5 linked regions of the Oryzias latipes genome follow. The protein of the gene in region 1 binds, or shares a complex with, the protein of each later gene. Links are inferred from orthologs where the notes say so. Each region holds a gene or a part of one and is shown on either strand. Other genes may lie near its edges.

What was found.
Region 2: nup188 (region 1) and cetn3 share a complex: the UniProt entries of both Homo sapiens proteins name them as parts of the nuclear pore complex. The link is inferred for Oryzias latipes from reciprocal best matches to the Homo sapiens genes NUP188 and CETN3.
Region 3: nup188 (region 1) and nup214 share a complex: the UniProt entries of both Homo sapiens proteins name them as parts of the nuclear pore complex. The link is inferred for Oryzias latipes from reciprocal best matches to the Homo sapiens genes NUP188 and NUP214.
Region 4: nup188 (region 1) and nup93 share a complex: the UniProt entries of both Homo sapiens proteins name them as parts of the nuclear pore complex. The link is inferred for Oryzias latipes from reciprocal best matches to the Homo sapiens genes NUP188 and NUP93.
Region 5: nup188 (region 1) and RANBP2-like and GRIP domain-containing protein 8 share a complex: the UniProt entries of both Homo sapiens proteins name them as parts of the nuclear pore complex. The link is inferred for Oryzias latipes from reciprocal best matches to the Homo sapiens genes NUP188 and RANBP2.

What each region holds. Positions count from the first base shown.
Region 1 is NC_019870.2:8,149,206-8,153,171, reverse strand, and holds part of nup188 (nucleoporin NUP188 homolog), read right to left. Parts: coding exon 3,947-3,966; intron 3,814-3,946; coding exon 3,613-3,813; intron 3,007-3,612; coding exon 2,914-3,006; intron 2,839-2,913; coding exon 2,686-2,838; intron 1,739-2,685; coding exon 1,601-1,738; intron 1,518-1,600; coding exon 1,443-1,517; intron 1,313-1,442; coding exon 1,103-1,312; intron 621-1,102; coding exon 489-620; intron 417-488; coding exon 343-416; intron 271-342; coding exon 141-270; intron 1-140. UniProt on the Homo sapiens protein: Component of the nuclear pore complex (NPC), a complex required for the trafficking across the nuclear envelope. Required for proper protein transport into the nucleus.
Region 2 is NC_019870.2:1,965,652-1,970,238, forward strand, and holds cetn3 (centrin-3), read left to right. Parts: upstream 1-1,668; 5' UTR 1,669-1,817; coding exon 1,818-1,834; intron 1,835-2,534; coding exon 2,535-2,667; intron 2,668-2,738; coding exon 2,739-2,853; intron 2,854-2,923; coding exon 2,924-3,115; intron 3,116-4,233; coding exon 4,234-4,277; 3' UTR 4,278-4,511; downstream 4,512-4,587. UniProt on the Homo sapiens protein: Plays a fundamental role in microtubule-organizing center structure and function. As a component of the TREX-2 complex, involved in the export of mRNAs to the cytoplasm through the nuclear pores.
Region 3 is NC_019870.2:10,680,325-10,684,290, reverse strand, and holds part of nup214 (nuclear pore complex protein Nup214), read left to right. Parts: intron 1-304; coding exon 305-372; intron 373-456; coding exon 457-634; intron 635-1,385; coding exon 1,386-1,538; intron 1,539-3,239; coding exon 3,240-3,414; intron 3,415-3,966. UniProt on the Homo sapiens protein: Part of the nuclear pore complex. Has a critical role in nucleocytoplasmic transport.
Region 4 is NC_019864.2:28,045,717-28,049,682, forward strand, and holds part of nup93 (nuclear pore complex protein Nup93), read left to right. Parts: coding exon 1-38; intron 39-3,308; coding exon 3,309-3,500; intron 3,501-3,581; coding exon 3,582-3,708; intron 3,709-3,794; coding exon 3,795-3,867; intron 3,868-3,966. UniProt on the Homo sapiens protein: Plays a role in the nuclear pore complex (NPC) assembly and/or maintenance. May anchor nucleoporins, but not NUP153 and TPR, to the NPC. During renal development, regulates podocyte migration and proliferation through SMAD4 signaling.
Region 5 is NC_019879.2:17,108,873-17,112,838, reverse strand, and holds part of RANBP2-like and GRIP domain-containing protein 8, read left to right. Parts: coding exon 1-1,778; intron 1,779-2,121; coding exon 2,122-2,202; intron 2,203-3,966. UniProt on the Homo sapiens protein: E3 SUMO-protein ligase which facilitates SUMO1 and SUMO2 conjugation by UBE2I. Involved in transport factor (Ran-GTP, karyopherin)-mediated protein import via the F-G repeat-containing domain which acts as a docking site for substrates.

The sequences.
Region 1 (3,966 bases):
TGCAAAGATCTAATTTTTTGTACTAAACGATGTAGAAAACTAGAATGAAAAATGTTTTTTGTGCTACTAATCCTCCAATTGTTCTATAGTCTGCATATTACTCATTTAAAATCCCATCTTTGAACTTTCAAAGCCCTCACCAGTTCTGAGCTGAGCTCCTGCTTGAGCCTCTGTTTGTCCCGCGGGAGGATGGAGGGGTCTTTGAGACACCGGACAGCCTGAGAGATGAGCACGTAGAAGCAGTTCTCCATGGTGAACATCAGCAGTGACCTTAGGGGGGAAAGAAAGCGTCTTTTGGTGCACTACCGCATGCTGCTTGACTACAGAAAGGAGTTGACTCACTTCAGAGCTTGGAGCTCTTCGGATGAAGCCAGCGATGCTATGCTGACCGAAGCCGTCTCCTTCTTCTTCTCCATCTGTCCAGACAGAACATAAAACGCTCAAGGACTGCCTGCAGCTAAAACCTGCAACAAAAATGTGAAGAGTACCTCGCTCAGCATGCTGAGCGCCACGTTGATCGTAGCCAGCAGGGTCCCAAATGAAGGCGCCACATCGGGGTCAAAGGCCGGAGTCGTGAAGCTGAGCACAAACAGGGTCCGGTACTCGGCCAGGTCCATGCACTGATGCAGAAGTGGCTTAGTAAATAGTCGAGCACATATTCCGCTCATGTAAAGCTACGTTCATTGTACTGTGCCTTCAATGAGAGGTCTGTGTAAATGTGCATATATGCGCAATTTGGGCTTCCACGTAAAACCTGATGAACTTTGACCAATCGGGGACATTTGTGGTCATGACGAATGGATGGCGTCCTTTTTGAGTCACAGAAGTGCCAACCGTTTTTAAATTCATCATGAAGGAGAAATTAATAATAGCAGTTTTTGCCCAGCCAGAATTCTATGACACCAAGTCTTTCCTGTATCTGGATAGAGCTGAGGGAAAAAAAAAGCCTGGAGCTAGACTCACTAGATTTGCACCGCTTCGACGCCAAGCGTCTTCCCACTGTAGGTTTATGCGCTAGTACTAAGTAATGACAGTCCATCGTGAACGTGCATCACATGTGTAGAGAGCCTGAGGGGAAAGCGGAGGATCTGAGCGGTCTCACCTGGTCCAGGAGGATCTGGCAGCAGTCGGGAGTGAAGTGCTGCAGAGCAGCCAGGGTTTTGCTGAGGATCTTCAAAAGGCTGCACTGCACGGTCAGCAGGGCCTTCTGCTCGGCTTCCTCTGCCCCCGCTGCCCCTGCTGTTGCCTGAGTCTGAGGGGGGCGCTGGGTCCTGGAGAGGGGACCAGGAGGCAACGCCTCACCATTCTTGGCCTACAAAACACAAACTCATGACTTTTTTTTGTCTGTCAAGTACACAAAGTTTCTGGTAGGGATATACGACAAATGTGACATTTATTAAGCATCTTTTATGAAATGTTAAGCAATCCTTAGATGTTCAGACCTGCAGGTAGTGATGGAGCATCTTCTTGCTGTGGAGCAGATATGTGCAGGTCTGGCACAGGTAACACAGGTTGATCTGAACACAAACAGAAGGGGAAAAAACGTTTATGAGCTCCGAATGATATCTCCTGCTGAAAGTGTGATGAAATGTGGACTCGCCTGCACGTCCAGGAGCAGCTTGGGGAGGTGAAACTGCCACTCCTTACAGAAACTGGACAGTTGGAGGAGGAAACCAACCGTGTGATCCGCCTCGTCCAAGCAGGCCAGGCTCTGAACGGTGCGCATGGAGTTCAGACACTGAGGGAAGAGAAACCGACATGCCTTTAAACCCAAACCGCCCTGGATCCTACAGGACTTCAGCAAAAAGGATGCATGGATCCAGATTTGCCGGAACAAGTTTGAAACACGAGAACCTGAGAAGTGGTCTCCAACCTTTTTCAGGCCACAGACCGTTTAAATGTCAGACAAAATTTTCACAGCCTCCGGTTTCACTTAACTTTTGAGGTAAAGTTTATCTTCATTCCCTGTAAAATATCAGCAGCTGCTTTAAACTTGAATAGTTCCTACATTAAATCTAGCGTAGAAATAGAAGCTTAAAAAATACATAAAATCAGACGCCAACCTCAGCCTAATCTGACTTTTAAGGTGTAATGGATAAATACAAAACTAAAACTGTTGTTTTCTAAATATAATAATAATTGTCTTACACTGTTTGAGTATCTTTATTAGCAGCATCTTCATAACATTAGACAGCTGGTTGCTGAATATTCAGCATTACTATAGAGTGTTGAAACAACTGTCGCAATAAATCCACATTTCAAGTAAAAACTCCTGGGGTTGTCTGTTTAACGTAGATTTCTTTTATTTTGAAGTCAAAGGCTCTTCGTCTGTTTCCCTTTTGGCTCTTTCCTGCGAAAATAAACTTTCCAAAAACGATTTGTCTCAACTTTGTTAGCTTGGTGGTTTCACTTTAGCGGTCGGCGCAGACGCTTTAGGAAAGAGGGAATTTCGACATGTGACTGAGCGACTTGACATTCGTCAAGAATGAATCGGATATAGTGGAGAGAATCCTGTAGTTTTCCAAAATAAAACTTCCATCAGAGTCAGATTATAAATAAAAACAGGAGGGATTGTAGGTCGCGTTATTTTTCTCTGTGGCACAGTACCAACCGTCCCACAGACCGGTTCCGGTCCACGGACGGGGGTTTGGGACCACTGGTCTGAATCGTCCTGATCGATCGTACCTGTAAGATGCGCTCTTGATGAACTCCAACAAAGTCCAGGGCTTCATTAATGAAGTGGTAGCGCAGCGTCTTGAGAAGACTCTCCATCAAAGACATGCAGAGGCGGTAAACGCCCGGCCAACAGGCCACATCCTGCGACTTCCTGGAGAAGCTCTGCTAACAGAAGCAACACTTTCAGAACGACTGGATTTGGCCCGAAAATCTCTAAGAATGTATAACGGATTCCACCTGAGAGGCTCCATTTGATGGACCTTCATAAACACTGAGAAGAGGAAGACAGATGGTCTCAGTAACTCCGGCTCCTGCTACAGCCGCTGCTCCCTGAAGAAGAGCAAAAAAAAAAGAAGGAGGAGAACTTCAAAAGCTTAAATCTGACATTCCGATTCCAAATGTATTCAAAATCCTCAAAAGCTTTTTATTTTCCTTCTCCTGCAGTCATTTAGATAGAATTAAATAAGCTCTGATCATTTAAGAAGATTTACAGTCTGTTGTGTAACTGCTGTAGTGATGAACTGCGGCTGCTGTTGTTAGTCCTCCGGAGATTCTTTCACATTAAACACAGACTGAAACACAGTTTGGGTTTTTCACGTCTCCATCTCCACCAAAAACATTTTAGACGTAATAGACAAAGGAAATGTCATGAGCAGAATTTAAATTGCAGGTGCAAAACAGGAAGTTTCAACACAGCGGAAGAAAAAAATGCTAACAAATCAGCAAAGAGGACAAAACACAAGAGCAACAGCAAAAAAGAGAAAACTAAAGATGAAGATTGACAGTTTCTCAAAAAAACTGTCAGGATAATAGGGAACAGAGACATCTAGTGGTGACAGATGGTGGATTACAAATAGTGCAGGTTAAAAATGATCACAAAAACAGAAAACAACTCAAAGTCACAGCGACTTGTACTCTGTGTGCGTTTTTTCTTACCTGAGGAGTGCGAGCCAGTGTAAGCAGCAGATGCAGAGCAGCTTCGGTGAAGTACAGGTTGTGTTTGGAGCGCAGGCTGAGCTCCATGGCGCTCATAACTGAGGGCAGGACCGGCACCTTCCTCATTACCGAGACCCAGTGCTCACCATCCTCATCTGTGCGGCACAGCTCCTTTGCCAGATGGAGTGCGAGTACGCAGACCTAATTCACAGGAATTAAAGGAAGAAGTGGACAAACTTCAGATTTGTTGGCGAATTGGATCGTGGCAGAAAAGTTCTCACGATCCGTCTTCAAAAGAAAATCTCTTAGTTAAATCCTCCTGATTTTCTCTTACCCCGTCTCTGTGGTCCTTTG
Region 2 (4,587 bases), about 6.2 Mb from region 1:
ATCTTGTCCTACATGAGTGAACTTCTGTCATTAATCATTTCTTCAGGTTTTTTAAAAAGTGAAAACGTTCTCTGACTCTTTCAGTTTGATTTGGTTCTAGAAAGTGGGTTTGAGCAAATAAAGATGCTGCTTTCTGAGCCTGAACCTTACCCCCCCCCCCCCCCACTGCTAAATGTGCACACCTGTATACGTGCACGCCTGCACACGTGCACACATCCCTTTGGGTTCTTTAGAAAGCCTCCTCTATGACGCTGGCTAAATACCTGTGCCCCCCCCCCCCCATGAATTCTCAGACTGAGTTGGGGGTGGGGTGGGGGGTAAAAACAGGAGGGCTGGCTGGAAATCAAACACAGATCCTCCTTCAGCTGAACAGAAAGGAGAATGTTCTGCCTCCAGAATCCTCCTCCAGTCAATCATCGCAGTGAAACTTCAGAGGCTCCAGTAGGAAATTCATCAGGAGGAGTTTTTTTTATGCTGTTATTTTCATTCCGTCACAAACTACTGCCTGTTGTTGTTGTTACCACCTGTTTTTTTGTATTTTTTTCTGACTTAGACTCTGCTGAGCTTGAATCTCTCCTGAGGCGACATGGTTTTTCACTCAGGCGTTATCTAGGATGACACATGTGACACAGGAAACGCCCCGACGTGAGCCGAGACCGGGCGGCACCTTCATCCCGGAGCACCATGGGAAATCCCTGATAAAACTGAGACAAAGCCCAAATCAGGGGTGGGGGCACAAAGACCCTCGGGAAATGCTCCAAGCATTTCCAGAGGGTAGAAACCTCCGGCAGGATTCCAGAGAGAAGGACGACTGTTCAACAAGCCAGGACCATTATGGGTTACATGCCTTTAATGTTGACAGACAGACATCAGACATAACAGGACCGTTGACCAATGTTTATGAGGAAAACTTGTCATCAGTTCAGAGTAACAAGTTACAACAAATAAAGGGTGTGCTGAACTGTTGGAGGACAAAGTCTAATATTTAGGTGTTTTTAACATGTTCTTGATGATGGAGGACCATGTATGAAGAAAATTAAGCGCAAATTTTCATTTGTTGTGAATCAGGAGCAGACTAAAAAAATGCAGTTTAAAAAAGAAAAAAATGTGCTGGGCGGTGCCACAAGCTCCGTGCTGCGCTCCATTCCGATGCATTCACTGTCAGACAAATAGATCCATAAACATCTCTGTTTTCCTGGTCTGAGCTGGAGTCTGAACTGGACGAATGGACGGATCTGATGAGGCTGCCATTTTTGTTGCACCAGTAATGTTGGGGGGGTTGGGGGGGGGGCTGTTAGATAGCAGGAAAGAGTGTAAACAAAGGAATCATGGGAAATTAGACAGGCTTACTGTGTGCCAATGGCCACAACTCAGAGGAGAACCTCTGATGAACTCCTGTGGATCTGCAGAAACTGTCCTGTAAAACTGTCCACAGGAAGGGAAATAGATCAAAAGATGGCCGGAATGTGTCTTAAAGTTATCTGGATTATTCTTTTGTGAATCACAAACTGATTTTCTATTTAAAGTTTTTCTACATTTTATTTGACTTTGAAAAGGATTCCAGCGTCAGTATTAGCAGATGTAGCAATGACAGACGACAGCAGGGGGCGCTGGTGTCCCGCTTGGGTTCAGTTTGCTCCCGAAGAAAAAAAAACAGAGCGCCACTAAGCGAGCGCCTTGCTGTTGCCTAGAGACCACCGACCAATGAGGACCTCGGATCTGAGCGCGGACACGCGGGGTTTGTTTTTGCTCGTTGAGCGACAGTAGCCGTTCCTTGGAAGTGAAATCTTCGCGTTTGGATCTGCAATTCGATCGCAATGAGTCTGTCTCTGAGGTGAGGATCGCAGCTTTTACGGTGACGTCATTTCCGGTTCTCTCGCCTTGTTAGCCGACGTTAGCATGTCGCCCGTTTGCCTCAAACATTCAGAGCTTGTTGACCGGAGACTCGGTCAAAGGGCTGCGTCGGTCCAAACGGTCCAAATGTGTGTCTGTCAAAGGGTTCGGTTCGGTGGAGCTGTCTCTGAATCAATCTGAGCTTGGCTGAAGACGTTGCACCGAAATTCTGTGACCTCTCAGGTTCTGTCCTCGGTAGATAATATTTCACCTGATTTGGACTTTCCGGGACCAAAAGCTCGTTTCGGGGAATGAGTTCTTTTATTTTGAAATAACGTTTGTTTTTCCACCATATTTGGTCAAAGGTTCTCCAAATAAACCTGTTGTGACGTCAATGTGACAGAAAAATATCAGAAATAGGATTCTGTGGTTTGTGGTCAAATACTACGATAAGACTAAATGGGTCTGGGTTCTTATTGGCTCAAATCTGATCGGAGATCTCTGAGTTGGTTGAAGCAGGTTTCTCTCTCGGCTCAGAGTTTGCCGTCAGTCTTCTCCTGCCTTCATGTCTGTTCCTGACTGATGAAGATGTTCAAACTCTTGTTTTTTTGTCTTCGTCCATCCTTCACGGTTGAACGGCGAGGTTCAAGCTCTGGTTTGTGGTCACAGGGAGAATCTGTGACTCTGGTTTTGCTCCGCAGAACCGACCAGGCCGACAAAAACAAGCCTAATAAGAGGAGGGAGCTCACCGAGGAGCAGAAGCACGAGGTCAAGGAGGCCTTCGACCTGTTTGACACGGACAAGGACCGACAGATCGATTATCACGAGCTGAAGGTGAGCGGCGGCGGATCGGATGGAAACCGTGGAAACGAGACCAAAGGTGTCATCTGTCACGGTCCCACCAGGTGGCGATGCGCGCCCTGGGCTTTGAAGTGAAGAAGATGGACGTCCTGAAGATCCTGAAGGACTACGACAGAGACGGGAACAGGAAGATCACCTTTGAGGACTTCAGTGAAGTAGGTGAGTCACTGGCCTCCTCTTCCTCAGAGCCAGGCGACGAGGAGCCGCCCTGAAACGCGTCTGCCCGCAGTGACGGACCGCATCCTGGAGCGGGACCCGAAGGAGGAGGTCCTGAAGGCCTTCAAGCTGTTCGACGACGACGAGTCCGGGAGGATCAGCCTGAGGAACCTGAGGAGGGTCGCCCGAGAGCTCGGCGAGGACATCAACGACGAAGAGCTGCGCAGCATGATCGACGAGTTCGACACCGACAGAGACGGAGAGAGTAAGTCTGCATTCGCTCAGGTTAAAGCCACGCCCCCTTCACCGGATGACACGTGTTCTGTCGTTGCCGCGGAGATGAGGGTCAACAGCCTGTACTTATGTAGCTCTTATGCAGGTCTAACGCGTTTTAAGGTCACTCTGAAGGCGGCAGAGCTGCCATGACAACAGAGGGGCAAGGTGGGGGTTCAGTCTCTCGCTCAAGGTCACTTCAACGCATAAACCTGCGACCTCCTGATCGTAGGTGGACCGCTCTTCTCCCGGTGCGGCTCCTGCTTTAGAAATCCCATCGCTCTCTGACCTCCATGGCAGGAAGGTTCTGGCGTTCCCGCTCCGAGGTCGCCGGTGATTGGGCGGAGAGCGCGGCTCCTCCCCTCACGGTTTCCTCAGCTGACCTGTTCCAGAGTTTTAGCGACCCGAAGGCCCGTACACACCGGGACGAATATTCGCCAGGCGTTATTCGCCAGCGTTTTTCTCCACGTTTTTTGTGTTCACACCCAGGCGATTTTCGCTGACGATGAGCCGAGCGAACATGCAATTTCATTCCCTGACATTAGATGGCGCTTAATGTAAACAGAAATACTCCTGTACACAAGGTGGCGCTGCGCAACTTTACGCTTCTTAAAGTCGCTTTTCACTCAGAAGAAGAGAGCAAGTATTTACACGCTTGTCAGAATCAAACAAAGAAAACATTAATATTTCAAGCATCAGTAGCTCCAACTGGTGCTTGGTTCGGGGATATTTTAGAATGTCCGTCATTATTGCTTCGCGGCTGTGTAGACGCTACTTGGCGTCTATCTTCTTCGCTGGTATGTGTGCTCAGCAAGGCAGTTTTGTGTTTGAGCGCCCCCAAGTTGTGTTTTACTGTAACTTCAGAAGCTCCAGACACGTGAGCAAAAGCGCCATTCTCATTGGTCGAATAGATTTCGATGCGACGCGTCGAAAAAAAAAAAACGAACCCGAGGCGTTTTTTTTTTTTGACGCTTTAACGCATGGCGTTTTTTCGCGTCGGTGTGCACACTCTCGTTGGTGCCCTTTGTTTAGTCACGAGGCGTTTCGCCGACGAAATTCGTCCCGGTGTGAACAGGCCTTGAGAGTCTGAGCAGACCGGTGTTTCCTCAGTAAACCAGGAGGAGTTCCTCGCCATCATGACCGCAGACTCCTGAGGAGGAGCCCGGAACGCCTTCTGAGCTGGACCCAGACGTTTCTCCACAGAGCCAGTGGACGCCCCCTCAGAGCCCGTGAGTCTGAATCCCGCTGGACATGAGAAGACTTTCCAACAGTAAAAACTGGACTGACTTTCTGTAAAGATCAAGATTTAAGTCGATCTTGACTTTTGAACTGTTTGTGTGAGTGTTTTATTTATTTTTCATAAAATAAAGAGTGTTTTCCCCAACAAAGTTCTTCCTAATAGTTCAGAATTTCCGCCGCGGGTTCAGAACCCGACAAACCCTCAGTGTGGCTCCTCTGGAGCTC
Region 3 (3,966 bases), about 2.5 Mb from region 1:
TGTTTCCAGCGGTATTATCTTGCACGACACCTGTTTTATAAAAATAATGCCCCGTTAGCTTAAGTAGGTCGAAGGGTGTTGTCTCGTTCCCAGACATTTTTTGAATTCCGAGCACATTCTGAGAACCGCCGCGTCCATGTGGACAGCTGATGCTACAGTTAGACACAGCTTGTCATTCCTGCTTCCTGTTTAGACACACATGGTGGACTTCAAGATATTGTGAAAGTTTTTCTGCTGATGCAGAGTGTGGAACATGACTTTTTCTGTCCTACATTCTTTTGTTTTGTTTTGTTTTCTACTAAAGGTTTTGGCTGTTCGGCGGCCACACCTGTGTTTGGCCAACAATCCACCACTGGGAGCATATTTGGACAGGTATGGTCCTCGAATTCACAATGATTCAATGCCTTTTGAACCAATTTTCATGAATACACGTCTTTGCTGGTTAATTGCCACCAGCAACAGCAACCTTCAACTGGTGGAGGTTTGTTCGGTCAAAGTTCGACCGGCGCTGCAACCTCGTCCTCTGGCGGATTCTTCAGCGGGTTGGGAGGCAAACCCAGTGAAGACGCTGCCAACAAGAACCCATTTGGTACCACCGCCTCCACTGGCGTGTTTGGCCAGAGCACGCAGTCTGGTACGTTTACAGTAGGGATGCCCACATTTTTTGCCGGGATGCGAGCTACTTTTGAAACAACCAGCTCCAAATTTAATTTTTTTATATTTATTTACTAAAATACAGACTTGTTTTGAGAAGCAGATTTTTAAATGAATCAGACAATTATTCAGAATCAAATTGCTAAACTTAGATGTGAGATTTTTACGTGATAATCATTCTTCCATCAAACTGACAGCTCTTTGAATTGTGTGTTGTCATGTCAGTGGCGCCACAGCGCACAGTGTGCCGACGACAGAAATGATCCGTGTACGTTTTGTTTAAGGTTCTGCTTTCTTGACCGGCCTCAGGCCAGTCAGGAAAAAATATGGCACATCGACTGTTACAATGCTCCTGACGCTAAACGCTCACAACTTTCTGAAGTCAAAGAGGAAGAAAAACTCCATATGAGCGAGCAGAGAGCTCGGTGTAGTTGAACTCGCATGTCCATTGACGTATGTTGATTTGTCATTCTTTCTACCTGTCAATCAAGTGACGTACCACACTCTGCAAGAATGATGATTGTCTGACAGCAACATTTTTTGTGTATTTTTGGTTGTCTGCAATCTACACAAACTTCCTTTTGACACATTGGACTCTCCTTTCTTAAATAAACATGTAAAAGGAAATGTCTGAACTTCAGGCATTATTTGTGTATTGCACCGAAAAGTCTGATGGACTGTAAATAAATCTGCTGTCAAAGCTTACATGTTATTGTTTCTTTCTCTTCTAGGGCCCAACAGCCTCTTTGGGAGCAGTAGCGCCAAGACCTTTGGATTTGGTCAGCCCTCCTTCGGGGAGCAGAAGCCCAGTGGGACCTTCAGTACTGGTGGAGGCAGTGTTGCATGTCAGGGCTTTGGTTCCTTCTCCACACCATCTAAATCAAGTAGGTCCTGCTTTATTATCCTTTTTTTTGAGCTGTGAATCCTTCATTACGTGGCGATCCAATTTGACTCACAAATCAAGATTGTGAAACACGATTCTTCAGTCAAAATATGTCTGAATTGGTGCTGTATGTATGTGAAAATTGAAATATATATATATATATAATCATCATTTATACAGAACAGATAAAAACACAAGGTTTTTATTAGAAAAAATAATATTTATCACTTTAAACAATGTCAAACTTTAAAAAAACTTCCTGGTTAACTTCAGCAGTGAACAAAACATAAGTGTCCCTGTAGTTGTGGATCCGTTTAAGCAAAAGCTGAAAATGTTCACAGTTTTTCCATCCTCAAAGCAATGCTGACTGCAGTCATAGTAGATAGATGGCAAGAAGACAGTAAATGAAGACACAGAAACACCTCAGTAAAAAATCTCTGTAATGAGTAGAAAACACTCAAAGTCCTTTCATCTAAACTGACAACAGACAGGTTTTACAGACTCACTCTTTTCATCTTTAGAGGAAATTGATCACACGATTTATTTTAGATGATCTTAAATTCATATTCGGTATTTTTTTTAGTCTAATCTATTTTTTAAATACCGGTATATCGAACAAATTATTTTTTCCCTCCAGAATTTCTATCTGTAAACTAAATTTCAGTCTCTTGTTTTTGATCTAAGTCAGTGCAAAAAACACTCAAAAGCTTTACTTTCAAAATGAGAAGTGTCACCAACACTTTACTTTGAAGAATGATTTACTTCCTCTGACCGTAGCACACACTGCACATTTACTGCAGTTTAGAGCAATAGTTACATTTTTTGAAGTGTATTTTTACCACACTGTACTTGATTCATAAGTGTCGCAAATAAGAGATTTTTGGGAACGGATAACAAGTATCCGAGGATTCGGATACTTGTTACAGCCCACTCTTTATCTCATAAAAAAATTTTCAGCAGTGTAAAGATAATGTCTAAATAACCTGATTTAGTTACAATTTCGATTTTGCATTCATGTTGAAAATGTGAAATTCAAGAAATACATCAAATCTATGAATTATTTGGTGTCATAATGATGAAATGTTTGACTTTTTTTTTTTCCTCAACTTGACCATCACTCATATCCACTGAGACATTTTCTTTTACTGAAGTCCCTATTAAAGGCCTTTCAATGGTTTGTGCTGTTGGAATCTAAGCTTGTGACATTAAGTCAATCAATGATTTACTGGGGCATGCTGGCTGTAATTTCAGCTCGCCTTGCTCTGAGGCTTTAAATTACTGTGATGTTTTCGTGTCCTAGTGTGCTGCAACACCATAGAACTCAACCTACTCAACTCAGAAGGACTTTGTGCTACAAAAACAGGAAAATCATGGGTGTAAAATCCCCAAGAAGTGGGGAAAAAACCCAGACAAAAAGAGTTGAAAGCCTCTTGACGCTTTTCTTACCTACTAGAATAGTTTTAGTTATTGTATGTACAGCTATGAAAGATAGTTAATCAACCTAATCTCTGTTTTTGTGTCCTTATTCCAAACATGACAAACATTTGGTTTCTTCAAGAAAATTAAGCGAACACACTGAGAAATGCTCTGAAAATTGCTTCAAAACCCTCCGAGCTTCTCACTAAGCAGTTTTCGACCAAGCCGGCACCCGTCCACTGCCCTCCTTTTCAAGCCTTCACCTTGTTTCTCTCTCTCTCTACAGCGAGCGGCTTTGGCAGCGCCCCCGTGTTCGGAAGCCCCCCTTCTTTTGGCGGTTCTCCTGCATTCGGTGGCGGCGCTTCATTCAGTTCAAGTCCGTCTTTCAGCAACCCTTTAGCTTCCCAGTCCAGTAAAGTGTTTGGCGAGGGAACAGCAGCCGCCAGCATGGGAGGATTTGGGTAATTATTAAAAAAAAAAGTATTTCAAGCAGTTATTGATTTCAATATGTGGCCCATTTTATTTGTTAAGTTTGCTGCTTTTGTAACAACATGAATACATTTGGTGTTGTGTGGCTTAGTGTAGTAGTATTTATGTTCTGCACCTACAGTCAATGTTTTGGTTTGGAACTATGTGTCATTCGGTTGTTTATGCAGCAGAGTGAGGAACAGCAGGTTTTGACTCACAGTGTGAAGCAACATGGAAATCCAAACATGTTTGTTTTCGCAAATAGAGCAAAGATGTCTACTTTATAAACTGGATTTCTTGTAAAAGCGTTCCCAGTGGTCCTTTTAATTGTAGCTATGCTATTTTAGGCAACATCCGAAAGCTGTGTTGTTTTCTAAGACATAGTTTCTGCAGAGTGACAGGAGTTTGTGAAAGTTCGCCTCTGAGTTGTAGGCGGGACTGTTCGTTGACTGTTAGACCATCATATTTTCTACGTCACCAATAAGTTCTTTTTCAGACTGCATTTTTATGTCTGCTCCTGATTCGCAACGATTTGAAAAAAGAAA
Region 4 (3,966 bases), on another chromosome or scaffold:
CCTGCCACAGTTACAGAAGCAGCTCCTGGAAGATTATGGTACACAACAACTGCCGCACACATAATCTCTTAGGTTATTTCATTTACTAACGTGAAAGTTTTTTGTTTTCTTGGAAGAAGGAGATGATGCACAAATGCATGTATGAGTACATGCATGCACTGCAAAAGGAGGGAACCTAAAAAGAGGAAAAAAACACTCGAAAGAAATCACCAGAAAGTTGTAAAATGATCTAGAAACACAGGAGTTTCACACAATCATTGAAAAAGGGAAAATTAAGCGAAGAATGCTAACTGTTAGAATGACTAAAATTAAATATTATACATCCCAATAACTATTTTTGCTAGTTTACAAGCAAATGGTTTGTATTTTTTGAGTTTTATGAACCTAATTGTTGTTCGTTTTGATTAAAGTGACAATAAATTCTAGTGTAAATAGTGAAAAATGACTCATTAAATCCTCATAGAATCTAAAACTTATTCTTAGAACATACATCTACATTTTTGTTTCCATTATAATCACAATAAATGCCAGTTCTACTTTTTAACTTTCAAATAACACTTTTTAAAACGGAGCCTAAAACGATGGTACAATTTGACTTTTTTAATCGTTAAATCCGATTTTTCGATGGAGGGTTTTGACTCATTTTAAGAATTCTAGATCCTAGCTCTTAATGAGATTTTGAAAAAAATCCACAACTGTGCTGATTTTGAGCAAAGTCTGAAAAGGTGTAGAGCAAAGACGTGTAAAAACAACTTAAAACCTGGTAAAATGTTTTAAATTTCTAATAACACGGTTTTAATTCTGTGCAAGGATCAAATCGTTTGCAGTGTTTGTTATTACAGGGCAGTTAAATATATAAAGCAATTTATTGTTGTGAAGATAAGGAACATGCAGGTGCGATCAGACAACATATTTTTTGAATAATTCATTCATTGTGGGAGCATTTAGCCTTTTTTTTCCTCTTTTTTTTGTTCTAAACTCACCAACATTGTCCCTCAAGACATATTTATCGTATTATGTGAATTTGTTCAGAAAACTTAGAAAATTTCCTCTCAGCAGAAACCAAAAGACGACAAACTATTGAAGAAATCGAGTCTTTTCATCGCATTGAAAGTTAAATTCAGATGTGGAGAGATGCGCTTTTACCCTGCAGAAAATCAAATCAGCCGTTGCTTCTCCTTCCTGTTAACTCCTGCAGCTTACAGGAGGGATAACTAAGTGATTAAATGTTGCGGCGCTGTGACTTCAGGAGACAAAGTAGGTCATGTAATCCTACCACGCCTCCTCCTGGCCGCCTCCTGCTGCGTCTCTGTCCTGTCCAAGAATTGCAGTGTCCCTGATTTGAAAGCAATGAATATTACAAGAAAGGACTGAGGGCATTTCAATTTCCGATGGAGCTCAAAGCCACGCAGGAGGTTGGAAATGGAGTTGGACCACAACACTTAAAAAGAAAAAAGGACTTAGCTCTCAGAGATCTAAAAACAGACTAATGTTTTTATCATTGAGATCTGGATTGCTCCTCTTCTTAAATTTACCCATTTAAATTGCCTCTCTTATCTGTCTGTCCTCTAACTTTTAGTCAACATTCGTTGATTATTTTATGAATACTAATCCAGCATCATTTCAAAAACGTAATTGGCTAAATTGAAAGGATGAACTTTGCCTCCTGCAGCCTGACATAAAAAATACAAACGTGCTGTTTTCTCCGGAGAGCTGCCCTCTCTGAGAGCTGATGCTGCCTCGCTCAGATAAGACCGCTAAGTCGCCGCTGCTGCGAAGCTCAGTCTGCTTCCTCTGCAGCTCGCTTCGACCCGCCATCCGCCGCCAACCTTCCTTCCTGTCCTGCATCTCGCTTTATACTGAGACACAAAGTCTAATTTTAATTTCTTTTGCTTAATGGCGTCACTCAGGTTCGTTAAGTGCCTTCATCCCCCACTTTCTTCTGTTCTCTCTGTATCTTTCATCCCTCCGTCTCCTCGCACAGCTGTCGCTCTTTCCTCCCACTGATTTTTGTCCTCTTAACGTTCCCTCCTCGCATGTATATTTGTTCTTTGTCATTTTCTGTTTGCACGCTCGGCTGCGCCCCCCCCCCCCTTTCCCCACGTGCACACTTGTGCGCGCACTCACTCCTATCTCGCCTCCTTCATCCTTTTTTTTTCTTTCTCCCTCCATCACTCCCTCCCACCCTCCCTCTGCTGCTCGCTCGCTCGCTTTTTTGAACTAAAACGCTGTAAGTCTGAGATAAGGCTGTAAAATGGCTGACATGGTCCACCCCGTCCGACTCCTCAAACTTTCAGCTAACAAGAGGATTAAGAATTCTAATTAAAAAGTAAACTTGATGACTAAGTACCTGCGCACACCAAAATGTTTTCCAATTTCTCACCCAAAAGCTGGTAAAAAAAAAAAAAAACCTGCAGACTGCTAAAATAAAACTGTTTAGTCGACACATTTCAGTTGAAACTGACAAACCTTTGTTTTTCTTTTGCTCAATTTCTGACAGCCAATCACGTATTTTATCATTGGTGCTAAATAAACCGTTTTTTAGAGAGAGATGGATCATTATGAAGAAAAATATCGTCTCATAATTATAAAACTTTTTCTGCTCCAATGTGCTTTTGCTATTTCTGTAAAGAACTAAATCAGGTTATTGCTGTTTAATTTGGGTTTTAGTGACAAACTTGGTTGAATTAAGGCTATTATTGTCCCCGTTAAAATGTTTTCCTTCAATTCTTATTAAGAAAATGTGAAAACAGTTTTGTTAATATGCAGGTTGTGCCGCAACAGGAGAGTCTGAATGCAACAGTAAAGAACGTATGAAAATAAACAAATCCAGTCTAATTATCCGTTTTTGACGGTGGTACACAAAGCTCTTTTTCAAACTGCAATTTTTCTTCTGCTCCTGATTTAGACCAATTTGAGTAAAGAAATACTCAGAAATGCAATTTTAAGCTTCATTTTCTTAAAATACCCCCCCATCATCAAAAAGTGCTACAAGAACGTGTTAAAAACACAATTTTACCTTGGAGAGGATCTTTAAATTCAGTCAGAATCGAATTTTTTCCTAAAAACTGCAACTGATCCTAATTCTTTATTTAGTGACACGTCAGTGCAGTTATTTTTACACAGAGATTTGGAATAAAGTTTAAAAAAGATAGAGATCTGAAGAATAAAACAAAACCGATTATCTGGATTTACCATCACTGGTTAAATAAAAGTTTATGAAAATTTGTCTGACCAAAAATCTTATCTGACGCAACATTTCTAAATAAAAATATTCTTTTCCTGGTCATCGCCCTTTTCTTCTGTAGGCGAGTCCCATTTCTCGGCGAGCCAGCAGCCCTTCCTGTACTTCCAGGTGTTGTTCCTGACCGCTCAGTTTGAGGCTGCCGTGGCGTTCTTGTTCCGTGTGGAGAGACTCCGCTGCCACGCCGTCCACGTCGCCTTGGTTCTCTACGAGCTCCGGCTGCTTCTCAAGTCGTCCGGTCAGAGTGCTCAGCTGCGTAAGTATGACCTCCATCTTTTTTTCTATTTTTTTTAACCATATTTTGAGACATTTTATTGGAGCTATGATCTGTCTGCAGTGAGTCAAGAACCCGGTGACCCGCCGATGATACGTCACCTCAACTTCATCCGTCTGCTCATGCTGTACACTCGCAAGTTTGAATCCACGGATCCACGGGAAGCTCTGCAGTACTTTTACTTCCTACGGTAAGTAATCCATCTCCCTTCCTGACCCTTAGCTGCTTTACTATACATCGACATATCCAATAGATGTCGTTTTTATCGTCCTGCAGTAATGAAAAGGACAGCCAGGGAGAAAACATGTTCATGCGGTGCGTCAGTGAACTTGTTATCGAGAGTCGAGAGGTGAGTGGACCACGGTTTCCTACCAAGGCTTGGAGAAATATGTCTGCGCCAATAAATCAGTGCTGTTTGACCCAGTCAGTAGAGCTGGATTTGATATCA
Region 5 (3,966 bases), on another chromosome or scaffold:
TTCTGGAGCCGGGCAGCAGGTCTTCTCAACGCCACAGGCAACACCCACCAAGATGGACTCTGTGAGCGGACAAGAGGATGACGGCATGTATAAGACTGAAGAAAACGATGACATCCAGTTTGAACCGGTGGTCCAAATGCCCGACAAGGTGGATGTGGTCACGGGAGAGGAAGACGAGCAGGTTCTCTATTCTCAGCGGGTCAAACTGTTCCGCTTTGATACAAGCACCAGCCAGTGGAAAGAGCGAGGGGTTGGGGTCCTCAAATTCCTGAAAAACAGCATCAACGGTCGCCTGAGGGTATTGATGAGGAGGGAGCAAGTTCTGAAGGTGTGTGCCAACCACTGGATCACGACCACAATGAACCTGAAGCCCCTGGCAGGTTCGGACAAAGCCTGGATTTGGTTGGCCAATGACTTCTCTGACGGAGACGCCAAGTTGGAGCAGTTGGCTGTCAAATTTAAAACTCCAGAGCTCGCAGAGGAGTTCAAGGCAAAGTTTGAGGAATGTCAAAGACTCCTCCTGGACATCCCCCTGCAAACTCCACACAAGCTGGTCGACACAGGCAGAACGGCTCACCTCATTCAGAAGGCAGAGGAAATGAAATCTGGTTTAAAAGACCTGAAATCATTTCTGACGGATGAAAAAACCAAGATCAAAGATGAAGACACGCAAGGAGACACGACGGCTTCCGGCGAGATTTCCAGCATGGTCATCAGGCCTCATGGGGAAACCACCGGGCCGACCTTGGAGTGGGATAACTATGACCTGAGAGGAGACGCTCTGGATGACACAGCTGACTCCTCTGTTTATGCCTCGCCCATTGCCAGCAGCCCCCTGAGAAAAAACCTTTTCCGCTTCGGAGAATCCACCGGTGGGTTCAGCTTCAGCTTCCAGCCTGGCATCAGCCCCTCCAAATCTCCCGCTAAGCTCAACCAGAGCCAAGCCTCAGTAGGCACTGATGACGAGCAGGACGTCACTCAGGATGAAGAGCGGGACGGGCAGTACTTTGAACCCGTGGTGCCTTTACCGGACTTGGTGGAGGTTTCTACCGGAGAGGAAAACGAGCAGTCGATCTTCAGCCACAGAGCAAAGCTGTATCGCTTCGACAAAGATGTGGGTCAGTGGAAGGAGAGGGGGATCGGAGACCTGAAGATCTTGCAGAATTATGACAGCAAACGGGTGAGGCTGATCATGAGGAGAGACCAGGTGCTGAAGCTCTGTGCCAACCACTGGATCTCAGAAACCATGAAGCTGGAGCCCATGAAGGGAGCAGAGAAGGCCTGGGTCTGGAGTGCCATGGACTTTTCTGAGGATGGGGAGGGCAAAATCGAACAGCTGGCTGTGAGGTTCAAGCTCCAAGAAACAGCAAATACCTTCAAACAGGTCTTCGAAGAGTCCAAAGTCGCTCAAGCAAAAGCAGAACTGATGACTCCAATGGCGTCTCGGCTCGCAGCGCCTAAAGACGACACAGCAGCAGAATTGGCAAGCACTCCGGTGTGTGGCAGTGCGGCTATTGCTGTTCTGGAGGAGATCACAAAGGAGCGCACAGAACCTCCTCCTGACAGCAAACCGTTACCTGCTGCCTCTCCGAGTCCAATCAACCCCTCAAAGACTGTGGTGTCTCCCCCAAAGTTTGTCTTTGGGACCGATTCCCTCCAGAAGATATTCGGCTCACCAAAATCCCAGCCGGAAGCTCCAGCTCCTGCAGGGAAAGCGAAAGATTCTGGAAGCTCTGTGAAGAGTCCTCTTCCTGCTCCTGCATTCCCGATGCACACAGGTAACTTGCTTGTTTGTTTTCCTCCGGTATAAAAAAACTGCTTTTTGCCGACAGAATTCCTGTCTCCTTCCATCTGCATCTCTGATTTCATCCTCTTTTTGCAAACTACCATTAAAATAAGTTCTTATTACCATTACATATGCATCTATAGGTCATACTATCTAGAACACTCTACTGTACATTCAAAAATATAGCTGTACTATGTAAACGTGAATAACCTGCACTAATCCAACACTCTGATGAATAATTCCAAAGCTATAGCATCTGCTTAAAGCCAAATCACATTTGGAGTTTTCTGATGTCACAAACGGTTTCTCTTTGCTGAACAACCATCATCCTTCAGGTCTGGATTTTAGGCTTTTCAAAGATAACCCAATGGCTTTTTGGACCAGCACGTCCACCAGCGACAGTTTTGAACCCGCAGGTACTCTGGTTACTGCAGTGTGTGTTAACACCTGTCAGCTGTCACCCGACTGGCTGCCTCCTACTGTGACTACTGTAAAGAAAATAACACCTGAAATGCACGAAGTGGCCGAAACGCTACAAGCTAATCCTGCATGTTCAGTGTGTTTATTTCCAGTTTTTGCTGTTGGGAGACCTTAATTTAATGAGATGTTTGTCTCGTTAAAAAAATGTATATTTTATAGGCCGTTTTGTTTTGTTTGGCCTTGTCACTATTGTTTTTTTTTTCCCCTTCTGTGACAAAGTTTAGGAAAACTAATCCTGACATTTGGGTATTATTATTACAGTGATGAAAGTCTTCCGGGAATTCCCGGAAATCCGGGTTTTTGAGCAAACCGAACGTACTTTCCGGGAAATAAAGACCTGATCTCTACGGACAAATCGCTTTCCGGATTAAAAAATGGTCTGAAATCAGCTAATTTTAGCTTTATTTTCTATATTTCTCCGCAGATCGCTTCCTCTATGGTCGTGGCCATCTCTCGTCTTCCCGGCCTAATTGACCAATGACGGGACGTTTTAGTTGCTTTCGGATGCGTCGACGGGTCTGATTGGCTCTGTCTGCACCACGTGGTCAGCGTGACTCGCTTCCTTAGAGACCAAAACTGGCGGACCCACGCTAAACTTTCACAAACACATCTGAAGAGTTTTCGATCAAATTTGTGTTAAAAAAAATGGCAGGCATCGTCATTATTGAGCGTGGTCACGACCTCAGTTGTGAGAAGACGATAAAAAACAAATTGAAGTGGTCTTGGCTGGAAAAAAAAGATTTTTAAGGTAGTGTAGGTCAAAACCTTTATTGTAAAATAATCTCAAAACCACATTTTGAAATAATTTCAATTTTAGTTTTGAGTTTCAGTTTTTATTTTGAATACATTTCTCTATCTAATTTATTTGTATTTCCTAATTACCATGATTTAGTTCAGTATAGTTGACATTAATTATAAGTATTTGATGGTTTGGACCCGCACTCCCTTAAAAAATAATGTTTACAATGTTTAGTTTAGTTTGTATGTTTGTTTTGATATTTCCCAGATTACTTAGTATTGGTGTTAAAGAATTGATTTATTATGTTATAGAATTATAGTTTAAAGCAGATCCCATATTTTGATGTAATTATAGTTTGAGAAAACGGTGCAAGTGGATGTTGTACATCAGTCATTTCTAAAGCAGAAATAATGTATAAATAACTGAGGTATTTTCATAGAATATCATAGTTACTGGTGTTCTTTTTGCCATTTGGGGCTTTGATGTTACTATATTTTAGCAATTGTATGTTTTGCAGCTTTAAGGAAAAGCGTAGATTGTAGGATTGTGTTACTTTGAGCAATTTTCCAAATTCTTTTTTAGGACCAGCAAGTCCTTAATGGAGAGTCAAACTAGGGGATTGAATGACAAATCATGATGCTCCAATTAGTCTTAGTTTCTTGATAAAGAAGTGAATAACTAGTTGCCAGAATGCACCAGAATGCATCTAAGACCACGTATTTTTCCAAAATTTCGCTCTGTGCCCGCCATATCGCTCAAAGAAAAGTTCAGGGATTTTTTCCTTGCCTGACTTTCATCACTGTTATTAAAACTCTAGGCTTGTGTAAAGCTCAGTGGTTTGGAGGTTTTGATGACCAAACGTGGAGCAGAAGTTGCGAAAGCCAAGCATCTGAAATATGAGGAGAGCAGAATCAGTTCCTTTATAGCGGCACGTCCCCAACAAACGTCACAGGGCTATTTA